Linked DNA regions of Oryzias latipes. The protein of the gene in region 2 binds, or shares a complex with, the protein of the main gene of each other region. Links are inferred from orthologs where the notes say so. Each region holds a gene or a part of one and is shown on either strand. Other genes may lie near its edges.

The links.
Region 1: the proteins of ube2g2 (region 2) and aup1 are in contact, whole or in part, in a crystal structure (PDB 7LEW), measured with the Homo sapiens proteins. The link is inferred for Oryzias latipes from reciprocal best matches to the Homo sapiens genes UBE2G2 and AUP1. Residues at the interface, in NP_003334.2 of Homo sapiens: Tyr13, Thr17, Pro20, Gly23, Ile24, Val25, Ala26, Gly27, Pro28, Met29, Asn30, Glu31, Glu38, Leu40, Met42, Glu45, Glu50, Phe51, Val53, Pro55, Lys156, Val159, Gln160, Ser162, Leu163, Leu165; in NP_853553.1 of Homo sapiens: Ser379, Arg382, Gln383, Leu386, Arg389, Lys390, Leu393, Tyr394, Tyr396, Ala397, Arg398, Arg400, Phe401, Thr402.

The regions. Positions count from the first base shown.
Region 1 is NC_019868.2:26,073,235-26,079,699, reverse strand, and holds part of aup1 (ancient ubiquitous protein 1), read left to right. Parts: intron 1-434; coding exon 435-585; intron 586-958; coding exon 959-1,146; intron 1,147-3,089; coding exon 3,090-3,162; intron 3,163-3,700; coding exon 3,701-3,774; intron 3,775-3,910; coding exon 3,911-3,977; intron 3,978-6,465. UniProt on the Homo sapiens protein: Plays a role in the translocation of terminally misfolded proteins from the endoplasmic reticulum lumen to the cytoplasm and their degradation by the proteasome. Plays a role in lipid droplet formation. Induces lipid droplet clustering.
Region 2 is NC_019879.2:26,799,850-26,805,668, forward strand, and holds the end of ube2g2 (ubiquitin-conjugating enzyme E2 G2), read right to left. Parts: intron 3,611-5,819; coding exon 3,492-3,610; intron 2,439-3,491; coding exon 2,298-2,438; intron 2,226-2,297; coding exon 2,113-2,225; 3' UTR 1,758-2,112; downstream 1-1,757. UniProt on the Homo sapiens protein: Accepts ubiquitin from the E1 complex and catalyzes its covalent attachment to other proteins. In vitro catalyzes 'Lys-48'-linked polyubiquitination. Involved in endoplasmic reticulum-associated degradation (ERAD).

The sequences.
Region 1 (6,465 bases), on a different chromosome or scaffold from region 2:
TTTACTCTGTCCGTTATTTTTCTCCAAGCATAAACTCTTTCATTTTCTGATTCGTCTGGATTACTCTTTTGACGGGTTTATAATCTTCATACGCCGTCATTAAAATCTCAGACTCCGTCTCACTGAAGTATAGCGCTCTCTTTTTTTCACCACGCGTTTCCATGGTGACTCCGGAAATCGGCGATCCATTGAGAATGTCTTTATGTACTTGCCGTGCACTTGCATTAACCCAGGGCGTAATTACGCTAACTCATATCCGGTCATTAAAGTCATGGTAGTTTAAACATGCTTTCTGGAATACACCCCAGAGTTAGTTACCAATCTGCTCTGCAGATGGATGAAGCCACCTATTGGTTTTAATCAAGACTACGTGCCAAATTCTGATTTTTCTTTGTACTTTCGGCTGTTTTCAGTGAAATATTGTTTCCTTTCAGATTTATTGTGAGGGTCATGTGCTCAGTCCTGGGGATGCATGTGAGACAGAAAAACCCTCGGTCCAGAGACAGAAACATCAAGTTGTACATATGCAATCACGTAACAGAGTTTGACCACAACATATTCAACCTCCTGACCCCATGCAATACAGTAAGTGCTCACAATTGTACAGTTATACACATTTGAGCAGTTCTTCAGTGGGAAATCAGGTTGTTGTTAACAAAGTTTGAAGACTTTTATTCATTTGTCAGTTTATGTGTCAACAGCGTTGCTTAAGTTTTGAAATTTGCACATTATTGTACGAAACACACATTTAAAAGAACTGAAATCCCGTTTTCTTCTCCAAAAATGACTGTGGATGTCAGGGTATGCTATTAGTGGAGTAGATGTCTGCAAAAAACATCATATATTTTCACCTGTGTATAAAGTTTTTACATTTTTCTTGCTTCAAGTGTTTCTGTAACTGCACCTTTTCAATATAGAACAGTAAATACCGTCTTTGTGCTTTTTTCATGCTTTTCAGCCGCAGTTAGAAGGCTCCACGGGCTTTGTGTGCTGGGCCAGAGGCTTCATGGAAGTCCATTCTGCATCTGGCCGGGCAGCGATTGGAGAGTCTCTTCAGAGATACTGCTCCACTGAGGGCACCCAGCCGTTGCTGCTGTTTCCTGAAGAGGACACCACCAACGGACGTGCTGGTCTCCTGAAGTTCAGGTTTGTGCCAGCCTTGTTGTCCTCTAGATAAAGCAATAGTACCCTCAGCATTTCTTGTTATGATCAAAAAGCCTTCTTTGAATGTGGAGTTAAATGCATTAATCTGGACTTTTAAACCTGCACATCCCATTCTGTTTGAAAACAACCTCCATCTGTAGATGCACAGACTCTGAATCTAAAGAGATTATGTGCAGAAAGCTTTCCTGCTTGCTCAGCTAATTTGTTGTTTTTGTTTGAAGTGCTGCTTTGAATTTCAGCAGATAACTATAATAATCAGGACAGAAACACTTTTTTTCTATGTGTCATTATATTTCCATGCGTAGTTTTCTATCTATGTTTAGTTGTTTTTTTTAATCTTTTTTATTCAGGATAATACAAATATGAAGGTGAAGAATTGAGAATAGCGGCAGAGCTTGATTCATTTGTTCTTTAGTTTGGAGAACCTCGAAATGATCACAGATTTTCAGTGAAACCAGAGTTCAGACGTTCGGTTTCTGCACATAATTATCCTACAGTTTGAAGCTGCTGCTTGTTTGTTCTGCGTTAAAAAAAACAAGTCAAGCATTTTTTTATATAGAGCTAATCATACTGTACACCAAAATAATAATAATAATAAATAAAAATAGAAATCCTTTTAATCAATCTAGGTAAACATTGGGCTGAGTGTGGAATACATTTGGTAAGTGGAAATGCTCATTTTTGGGACCTCCTCCTCTGGGGATAGATGCACATGTTATGAATATTAAAATGAATAATTAATAATTATGTATACTCATAAGACATCATAATAAAATTCATTAGAAGCCGAGCTAAATAAAGGCTGCCAGGTTGTTCTGATTTTCAGACGAGACAAAAAATAGGATACAAGATTTGTAGAAAACACAACATTACTGTAACATTTTCATTACAAATGTGTTCAAATTAGGTGGTGTGCTTCACTTCCAGTTTGTGGGGAAAAGAACAAATTTTTTTGAGGTTTTCTGTTAAACACAGAGGATTATTAAGAGGCTCAAGTTCTGTTAGATGCTGACGACCATGTTTTTGTTTTCAGCTGCTCTGAATCTATTTTGCTGTTTATAGCTAAACAAGCCCAGTTAATGACCGGCGGACAGGCAGACGGACGGACGGGCGGGGGGGCGGGCGGGCGAGGTGGGCGGGCGGGCGGTCATTTGTTCATCTGAGGGGAATCTTTGATCCCACAAATATTTGAAAAGTGACTATTAAGATTATTAAAGGCAGGATAAATCCTGTTACTCTAATTAACACGACTTTAGAGTTTATTTGATATTAGACTGAATTTCTTCTGGATATTGAAACTGCTTTTGTTCTCAAGCTGCTTCTGGTTTTACTGTATTCATGACTTCATGATTCTTACGCCTCTGGGGAAAGCAGTGCGGTATAATACTGTAAGGCAGCTGTTTAAAAGTGTTGCCTTGATTCATAGTTGATGACCATAAAAAATATTCTACTCTACAAGAAAACAGAGAAAAATGTAAGAAAGTTGGAATTTTTCTGTTTTTTTAAAATTAAAATAAAATTATATAAATCATCTTTTTGACACAAAAGCATTTGATTAAACATCCTAGCGCATTTAAAAGAAGGGGAACAAGTATAAAAACATCTCAGACTTTCACTTTAATGAGAGCATCGTTATAATTTAAGACGCTGCTGTTGTGTTCCAGTGTGTTGTGTGTGTTACCTGTTCTTGAACATTCACGAAGAGGAAGTGATGGCAGTGCAACAAAAGAAGAAAAGCCCAAAGAACAATGTAGAGACCAAACACACGAGTCCCAATGAATTTGCTTCACTGCAGCTTTATTGTGGGGATGTAAAGAGGAAAAGCTGTCAGCATCCAAATGTTTAGGACGCTGTGTTTACGTTGAAGAACCAGATAACAAACAAAAGATTACATTTTATATTTTGACATTGGTTTTGTCTTTCAGTTCTTTGCCTTTCTCACTGACGGAGTCTGTCCAACCTGCGGCCTTACGGGTGACCAGGCCACTGGTGTCCCTGGTAAGATCTTCTGTCTAGATATGTTGGTCGTCTTATTAGATACATGTATGCTCAGGTGTTGGTTCTCTTCTTAGAATCAAGAAAATCTCACAAAGGCCACAGAATAACTTAACTATCAAAAGGGAAAAAAAGCAACCAAAGAAGATCAGACAATTAATCACTGTTCTATAAAATGATAAGATGTGAACGCTAAAAAGATGGAGATCAATTGACTTTAAGGACATTCCTATATGCTTTTTAGATGATTTTTGATGTTTGTGTAGCAAAAAATAATCAAACGTTGGAACAAAATGTACAGATAGTCCTTTTTTTTTAATGGTTTATTTCAAGCAATCAAATAGGAATACATTTTTAAAGAAAGTGATCCAGTTGTGGAATATTGGTTAAAAAGAAAATCGGTGAATCGTCCTGGAATTTACTGGAAATCGTTTAGTGTCGCCTGTGTTTTTCTAGATTACCATAATTTCTGAATTCCTGCATTTGTGGGATAGTTCGGAGAGCTGAGCTCCATGAACCGTCGTGGTTTTTTCCTCCACAGAACACAGCAGAGTCCAGTTGGCTGGTGGAGCTCTTATGGACCTTTTTTGTTCCATGTACAGTGTATCATGTAAGGTACTAACTCATTTGTGTCTTTATTTCTGCCATTTTATAATTTTAGATTCATGTGAAACTTCAGAGTTTTTTTTTCTTTACAACAAGAAAGTAATTGGATTATTTACAGTTTGAATTTTTTAATTTGTCTTTCCAGTTGGCTCCCACCGGTTTCCAGACAAGACGGCGAGTCTGCACAGGAATTTGCCAACAAAGTCCAGGAGGTAAGCTCATACAATTTGAAAAGAAAAGGGAAGAAGAAAAAAATCCCAGATTTCAAGATGAGGCCAATTCTTTGGTGTAGAGAGTGTTTTCACTGACGTCACAGATCCAGTCATGTTGGTCATATCCAGTTGTATCAGATTAGCTATGAAAGTAAAAACGAGTTGTATAGATCAGTGGTCACTAACCGCCGAGGTGCAGACCGGTACCGGTCCATGGGACAGTTGGTAACGGGCTGCAGAGGGGAAAAAAACGTGACCTACATTTTTTCCATTTTACTTATAATCTGGTTCTGAAGGAAGTTTTATTTTTGAAAACGTCTGGATTCATTCTTGATGCCTGCCAAGTTCAATTCAATTCAATTCAATTCAATTTTATTTGTATAGCCCAAAATCACAACAACAGTCGTCTCGATGGGCTTCGAAGTAAAACATGAACTCAAAAGGATCACGAATACAAAGAGTTCAATAGGAAAATACTAAAATGAACTAACAAACTTACTAAGCTATACTGGCATCCCTGCCCTTAGACCCCCCTTCGCGGTAAGGAAAAACTCCCAAAAAAAACGGATTCCGGAAAAAACGAAGAAACCTCAGGGGTGCCCACATGAAGGAGGGATCCTCCCCCAGGACGGACAGGCGATTTACCAGAAATCTTAGAGAAGAATTAACTTATCAAAATCTACAACTACATATATAAAAGTCCAGCAGACGAGCTTCATCCAGCCGTGGTTGTGGGGACAGTCAGGGGAGCCGGAGACAGGATCCACAGCCAGGTGTAGGAGCAGGAGCGAAGGCGAGGTAAACGGTCAGGAACTGGAGCACGGATGAACCAACTGGAATCTGGAAGCACTCCCACTCCCCAGGAGGGGAGAGGAAAAGAGGGACAATACATGAATCGCACGGCACCAAACAGAGGCATGGAGAACTAAATGATAAATTATGATCAAGAATAGAGGAGAGGAAGGGTAGAAGTAAAAAAGGAAAGAGGACAGAACCCCAGTGCACCATAGTTACCCCAGCTTCAACTTCTAGCAGCCTTTAAAAATAAATAGTTATTAAGTTTAATTTAAACAAATTAACATTAAGTTAAATAATCTCTGAATACTAACTAGTCTGACAATAAGCCTGTCCAAAGAGGAATGTTTTCAGTCTAACTTTGAATGTAGAAACTGAATCGGCCTCTCTTACATGAGCTGGGAGTTTATTCCATAAGACAGGGGCTTGGTGGCTAAACGCTCTACCTCCAACCGTACTTTTACTAATTCTAGGAACCACAAGCAGTCCTGCATTTTGCGAGCGAAGTGTTCTGATTGGATGGTAAGGGACTATGAGGTCCTTAATATAGGACGGGGCCATTCCATGTAAGGCCTTATAGGTTAACAGGAGGATCTTGAACTTGATTCTGGAATCAACTGGGAGCCAATGGAGCGAAACTAACACAGGAGTGATGTGATCTCTTCTGCTAGTTCCAGCTAACAATCTAGCTGCTGCGTTCTGAACAAGCTGGAGACTTCTTAAGGAACTCTTAGGACACGCTGCTAACAAGGAGTTACAGTAATCCAGCCTCGACGTAACAAATGCATGGATGAATTTTTCAGCATCACTCTTAGAAAGTATATTTCTGATCTTAGCAATATTCCGCAGGTGAAAAAAGGCAGTTCTGCACGCCTGAGATATGTGAGCCTTAAATGATAAATCCTGGTCAAGTAAAACCCCAAGGTTTCTAACTGTGGAATTGGGGGCTATACTTATGCCATCCAGGGAGACTATCTGAGCAGACAGAGTATCTCTGAGGTTTTTAAGACCAAGTATAATGACCTCAGTTTTTTCTGGGTTCAAGAGGAGGTAATTAATTGTCATCCAGGTCTTGATGTCACTGATGCAGGCGTTCAGTTTCTCTATCTGGTCATTCTGGTCAGGCTTCATGGATAAATACAACTGCGTATCGTCGGCATAACAATGAAAATTAATGCTGTGTTTCCTGATTATGTTTCCTAGGGGTAGCATATAAAGCGTAAACAGGATCGGTCCCAAGACTGAGCCCTGTGGGACTCCATAGTTGACTCGAGTGCACTGAGAGGAATGGCCATTTACATTAACGAACTGATACCTATCAGACAGATAGGATTTAAACCACTGGAGAGCAGATCCTCTGATCCCTATGTCCTGCTCTAATCTATGGAGTAAAATACCGTGGTCGATAGTGTCAAAGGCTGCACTGAGGTCCAACAGGACCAGAATAGAAAGTAGTCCCTTTTCTGAGGCCAATAACAAGTCATTAGAGACTCTAACTAGTGCAGTTTCCGTACTGTGGTGAGGTCTAAACCCCGACTGAAAGTCTTCAAAGTGGCTGTTCTCCTGTAGGTGGCAGTAAAGCTGCTTAACTACAACTCTTTCTAGGATTTTAGAAATAAAGGGCAGGTTTGATATCGGTCTATAGTTGGCCAAGATGCTAGGATCCAAACTGGGCTTTTTCAGAAGAGGTTTA
Region 2 (5,819 bases):
ATGTCATTTTCTGTTATTTCTTATAATTAAAAAATATAATAAATCAACAAAAGACTGAAAAGATTCTCTAAATTTGAATCTTTTGAGTTTGATCTCATCTTGTAATCTTAAATCTAATTAGATTATTGACAATTTCTTGGGAAAAAACCTTCTTGGAAAAGACAGTAAATCACAAGTCTTTATGGGATAAAATGTAGAAACTTCTTTTCTGTTGGGGATTATAGGTTTAAGTGCATAATTTTGGTATAAGCCATAAATTAAGCGATTATTTGGGTATTTCCTTAAATTAGTTGGTTCAGATCTGCTGCTCATCAGGAAAAGCTCAAGATTCCAGGAAATATCTGATATTTTTAAATGTTTTTCTTTTATTTTGTAGATCTCTTCGTGGCAAACTCCTGCTAACATGTCTGAGGATTTAAGATTTAAACTTAAACCTGTAATCCCTGGGAAGTCCTGTGCTTCACTGTCTTTTCCACGTTTTCCTTCTTCTTTTTTTTAACAAATAAAAAAAGTCTCAAATAATTGAATTCATTATTAAAGGTAAATTTAAAAACTATGGGACCAAAAAATTCAGCTCAGATCAGATTTTAATGGACCTTTAGATTTACTTTACTTTTATGGAGTCCTCCTTCTATATATATATGAATTTGAGCTTCATGTGCACTAAGATTTACTTAACTACTTTACGATTTACTATACTCTTAGATCACGAGTGGGTCGGTCGCTGGTGCGGACAGATTCCTAGAATATAATTTCTTCACAACTGCATCCAGGCTGGTTTCTGTTTCTAATACGTTTTAACCTTTTCTATGGGTCCTTTTGGCTTTCATTATGTTGGGTGCTGGGAGCATTATGTATTTTTTTATAATTTTATTTTTAATTTCATGCCTGTGAAGCACTTTGCGTTAGTATGTAAAGTGCTTTAATGTACAGATACAGTTTGATTTGATTCTTGCTGTAAAAGTTGTTAATTCAAGTCACACTCTGATCAACATTTGATTCCTTTTGCTTCCAGTGGTTTTTTAATTACCACTTTGCTGGTTTTAATCAAAATCGTGTTGTTTTCTAGGACATAGTTTCTGCAGAGTGTCTGTAGTTTATTAGCAAATCACCTCTGAGTTGGGGGCGGGACTGTTGGCGAGGAGTAAGCCTGTGCTCATGTCCCATCATCCCTTTGTTTACATTCTCTCCCGCGAGCCCATCACCAACCCCAACCCAACCAGTGCGACAAAAATGGCAAGTATTATTGGAGCTATCCAGACGTACAGTTTTAGGCCAGATTCCAGCTCGGACGAGGAAAACGAAGGATCTATTTGTTTGCAAGTGGATGCATCAGAATGCAGTGAAGCAGGGAGCTTTAGACCAACTGATTATAGTATTTATGTAACAACTACAAGCTTTTTCAAAGGACATCTTTATCATCTGCTTCTGAGTCAGCACAAAATGGATAAAGAAATACTTGCAACAAGTTTTCTTTAAATAAACTGTAATCCTAGTAAGATTACTCAAAGGTCTAAAATCTTAGTTGTGCTTGAAAGCTAAACACCTGACTTTAAGAAACTGTGACTTACAGATCAACCTTCAGACAGGGTTTGAGGAGAATCTGAAGGATCCAGAACTTTGAAGAGTCTTGTGTTGTCTTGTCTTCCTCTTTGCTCACCTCCTTCCTGGTTGACTGAAGTTATGCAGCGATTCACGGCTGCAGATTCCCACACTTCCTCACATTTTGCAGAGAGTAAACCAACATAACAAGCACCTCACTCTTTCATTGCCTTTATTGATCTATTTGTGAAATCAGACAAATCCACAGGAGACGTTGCAGCAGAGCTACGACGGCCCGGCTGTGAAAGCCCAACTGCGCATCGTGAGGATCCTGCGTCACGAAGACAGACAGTCTAAAAAGTCCGAAGAAGTCCAACGCCGCTGTGACCACTAAAGCAAGAGTCTGGGGGAGGAGACTAGCAGAGGAGGTAAGAAGACATGCAGTGTACGGCTGCTGACGCGCCTTGACGAGCACCCTCCCATCAGTCTGTCCATGTCAGCGGCTCTGTGTGCTGGTGGTTTCCATGGTGATGGTCTTTCACCGACAGACGCCCTGACGAGACGTCCTCCTCATAAACCCAGAGACCTGCGGACGATCTTCTGAGCCAGTTTGTTGAACTGCTCTCTGTCCTCGCGCCACATTTTCGAGGCATCGACGTTGGCGCCGCTCTCATCGTTGGGCTCTGAGGACGACAGGTTGAATCTGTGAATGGCGCCGAGTCCCTGCTGGTGTCAGACGCAAACGAGTTCCATACCTGCCAGCATGCTGACCACGGAGAGCAGGATCTTCTCCACGCTCTGGACTGGACTCCACCTTTCGGCGCTGCTCTCGTAACCCATGGGATCGTCACCCGGGGCGTGGAGGATAGAGATGCACACCCGTCCGTCGGGATAGACTGGGGCGGGGGAGGAGAACGCTTTAGTTCACCGGTTCTAGCTTCTCTGAACTCTTAGCAACTTTTTTTTTAAACTGCTAAATGGGATTATATTTCATTTCGTATCGTCTTTTATTTTTTTACACTCTCTCCCGTTAGCTTACAGCCCCTCACAACCCCAAGCTGAGAGGTGCAACAAATATGGTGAAAAATGTTGGATGTTTCCCGCCGAACAGTTTTAAGGACGTTCATGGATCTAGTCGTCCAGAAGTGTGTGCATTGGAAGAGAGTGGAGCAGTGAGACTTTAGCCTGCCCCTTGGAGTTTCTACATCACAACTGAGAGCGTTTTTGTTTTGTCATCTGCTCCTGATTTACCATGATTTAAATTAATAAATACTAAGAAAGGCAGTTACAAGCTTCGATGCTCTATGTCCTCTATCACAAGAAAAATGCAACAAAAACATTTTAAAAACACCAAAACCACATATTCTATTGGAGTGGGTCTTTAATCTGATCCTGTTTGGACCCCCTCCCCGTGCAGGGGGTTTCAGGGCGCTGCCGCTCGGTCCAGCTGCAGGAAATCTCCTCTGAAAACCGAGCCGCTGTTATCGGCAGCTTCCGTTTCATCTTTAACAGTTGCAGCGTGGAGTTCGGCTCAGGGCCATGCTGGTGAAGATGAGCGACAAGCACTTCGTCTTCTCATCAGCACTGAGCGCGCTCAGAGCGCTCGTGTCCTGACATCACGGCTTCGGCCCCACTAATCAGAGAGCGGTAAAAACACGCCAACAGCAACAAGCTCTGGAGCGTGCCGAGACAAGTCTGCAGACGGGCTAAGACACAAGACGTGTGTGTGAGTGGAGGTGTGTGTGTGTGTGTGCGTGTGTGAGTGTAGGGGTGTGTGTGTGCGTGTGTGAGTGGAGGTTTTAAGATCCAAATTTCAGTTTTCCTGAGTCATCAAGAAGATGAAATCAAACGTTGCTCCATCACAGATACTTAAAGCGGTCGCAGGTTTGTGCGCTCAACATCTGTTGCCATGGTGACGAAAGCAGGCACAAAGCCGTGGGCGGACTCACTGTTGGGGTGAAACATGTCACAGGTGAACCTCATCTTGGGAGGACTGAGAGGATAATCGGAGGGGAAGCTGAGGACAGCGGGGAACACTCCGCCTTCGAAACACGTGTCTTCGGGGCCCCTGAAACACAAACGCACATGCGGCGGTGAGAGCCTCACAACGCCAAACACCAAGAAAACGCAACAACGACACTGGAGGCTAACCCATCGCCTGGAGAAGCTTCAAACTCCGTGAAACACCAGAGAGCGAGGACTTGTGGAGAGGATCCTACAGACCTTGTAGTTGGATCCTCCTGCTGCTACTGTATTCCTCATGGCGTAATAAAAACGAACAGCAAGAAAATCAGCAACAAGTCTCAGAAGACCGTGTTGGGATAAAATAGAGTCTCCACTATTTTCTGGTCTTTGTTGTGGAAATGTTGAGAGCTTTTCTCCACCAGCTGATCTTTCAGGGTATGTCTAGACTAGGAAAATCCTTTGTTCCGGATCGAGTCCTGAACCCTGCGTTTGGTCTGTATTCAGACTGGCATCAAGCGGACCATTCTGCTCCGGACCAAAGCTTTGGTACGGCAGAGGCACGCTGCAAGGCAGGTCACTGGCAAGGAGGCGTGGCGCGCGAGGATATTAGCAACTGCAGTGATGAGGAGACGTCGGGTATGAAGTGATTTTGACATATGGTTTGTTGGGAAAACAGTGAGAAGCAAAGTGGATCACATTAAATGATGAGCCTGCATTCATCCGACCACATTTCAATGAGTTGCTGTGTCTCATCGTTGTGGTTTTATGTCAGATTTTTAAGAGAATTCTGTTTCGGGAAACAGAATGAAGCATGCAAGAAAAGCATGGAAGAAGTGATCTTCGCCTGTGTTACAGCATACGTTCTGACAAATAAACAGTTGGACCTTTTTTTCTGTTTGATGACACGGCAATCGTTGCTTCATATTTGTCCACAGCTCATCCGTTGCTTCAGTCCTACTCTGTTTACGTCGGCTACGGTGGCCGTTTTGGTCCTGTTGTTGTGCTTTGGGAATGGATTGTATTTAGACTGAGTGTGAACCGGAGCTCAGTCTGATTGGAAATGGACCGAGACCACCTCGTCAGATGGGTCCGAGAGTGGTTCCTGGTCCCGGACCAGAGTCCTCTATGATGCATTCATACTGATAATTGGGGTAAATGAACTCTGGTTTACTTAAGGCGAACCAAAACAAATGTGTCCGGTCTGAATACAACCTTAGACGGACTAAATGATGTTGGTCTTTTCTGTCCTTCATTACCATCAGTTTTTCATTTTTGACTCATAGCTCAGTGGTTGTTTCATGGCTCAGAGGACCCGAGTTGGAATCCGTGTGTCCTCCAAAGTGTCTGTGGAAAGATGTCCTTCAGGATAGGCTGGCAGTCAGACTTCAGGTATCCGAGGTTAAAGAAGACAGTTCAAGTCTGAAGGCCAGATTAATGACACGTTGACTGTACAGGTTGTTGGTGCCGGAAGCGGTGAGATCCGGTTTCAGGTGACATGGAGAGAGAGGTTTGGAGAAGCTCTCCTGAAGATCAGTGGAAGAGCAAACCGCTGCTGCGTTTAATCTGCACCCGTTTGCGTTCACCAAAGTGGAAGTAAAGCTTGCCGATGTTATCAGAGATCCTCTAACGGACGCAGAATCGCAGCAGACAGAAAGTTTCTGACGGAGCGATAAGCTGAGCTCTGGAGGACCTTTGCATATCTGACCTCATCTCAGATCTCGCCTGTCCTCCTTCCCTGATCTGATCTGCAGGTTATTTCTGACTCGGACTCCCAGCTGACGCAGCACTTCGTCTTCTGGCCTGAAGCTCCATGCAGACAATCTTTGGACAAGTTCTCAGAGTTCTTTTGCCCTCAAGGAGGATGGTAGATGCTAGCTCTAGTCCGATCACGTCTCCTCCTGTTTGGATGTGTAACAACAGGTAATGACAGAGCGTGGGGAGTGACATCAACAGGCAAGCAGCAGCTTCAATTGAAGGGCAGTCGACGAGTCATTGTCCCGCCGGCGCTGATCGCCGCTGATGACTTCACTTCTGTTCAGATCGCAGCTCTGAGCCGACATCAAACACCCAAACGTTCTGCTTTTAAATGGAAACTAACACGAAGCTCGGGAGCTCCTCCTCCAGCAGCAGCATCCGGAGCACACCGAGACATTAAAAAATAAAAATCACAGACATAAAACGATGAGAGGCGGAAAAAGCAAAATCCTGTCAGATCATCCCCGTCTCCAACTGTGCTTCTTTGGTTCACATGTTCTGATTCAGCAAAGAAAAGAGCTTTAACGTTCCTTAATTTTCCCCTTTAGAACACGATG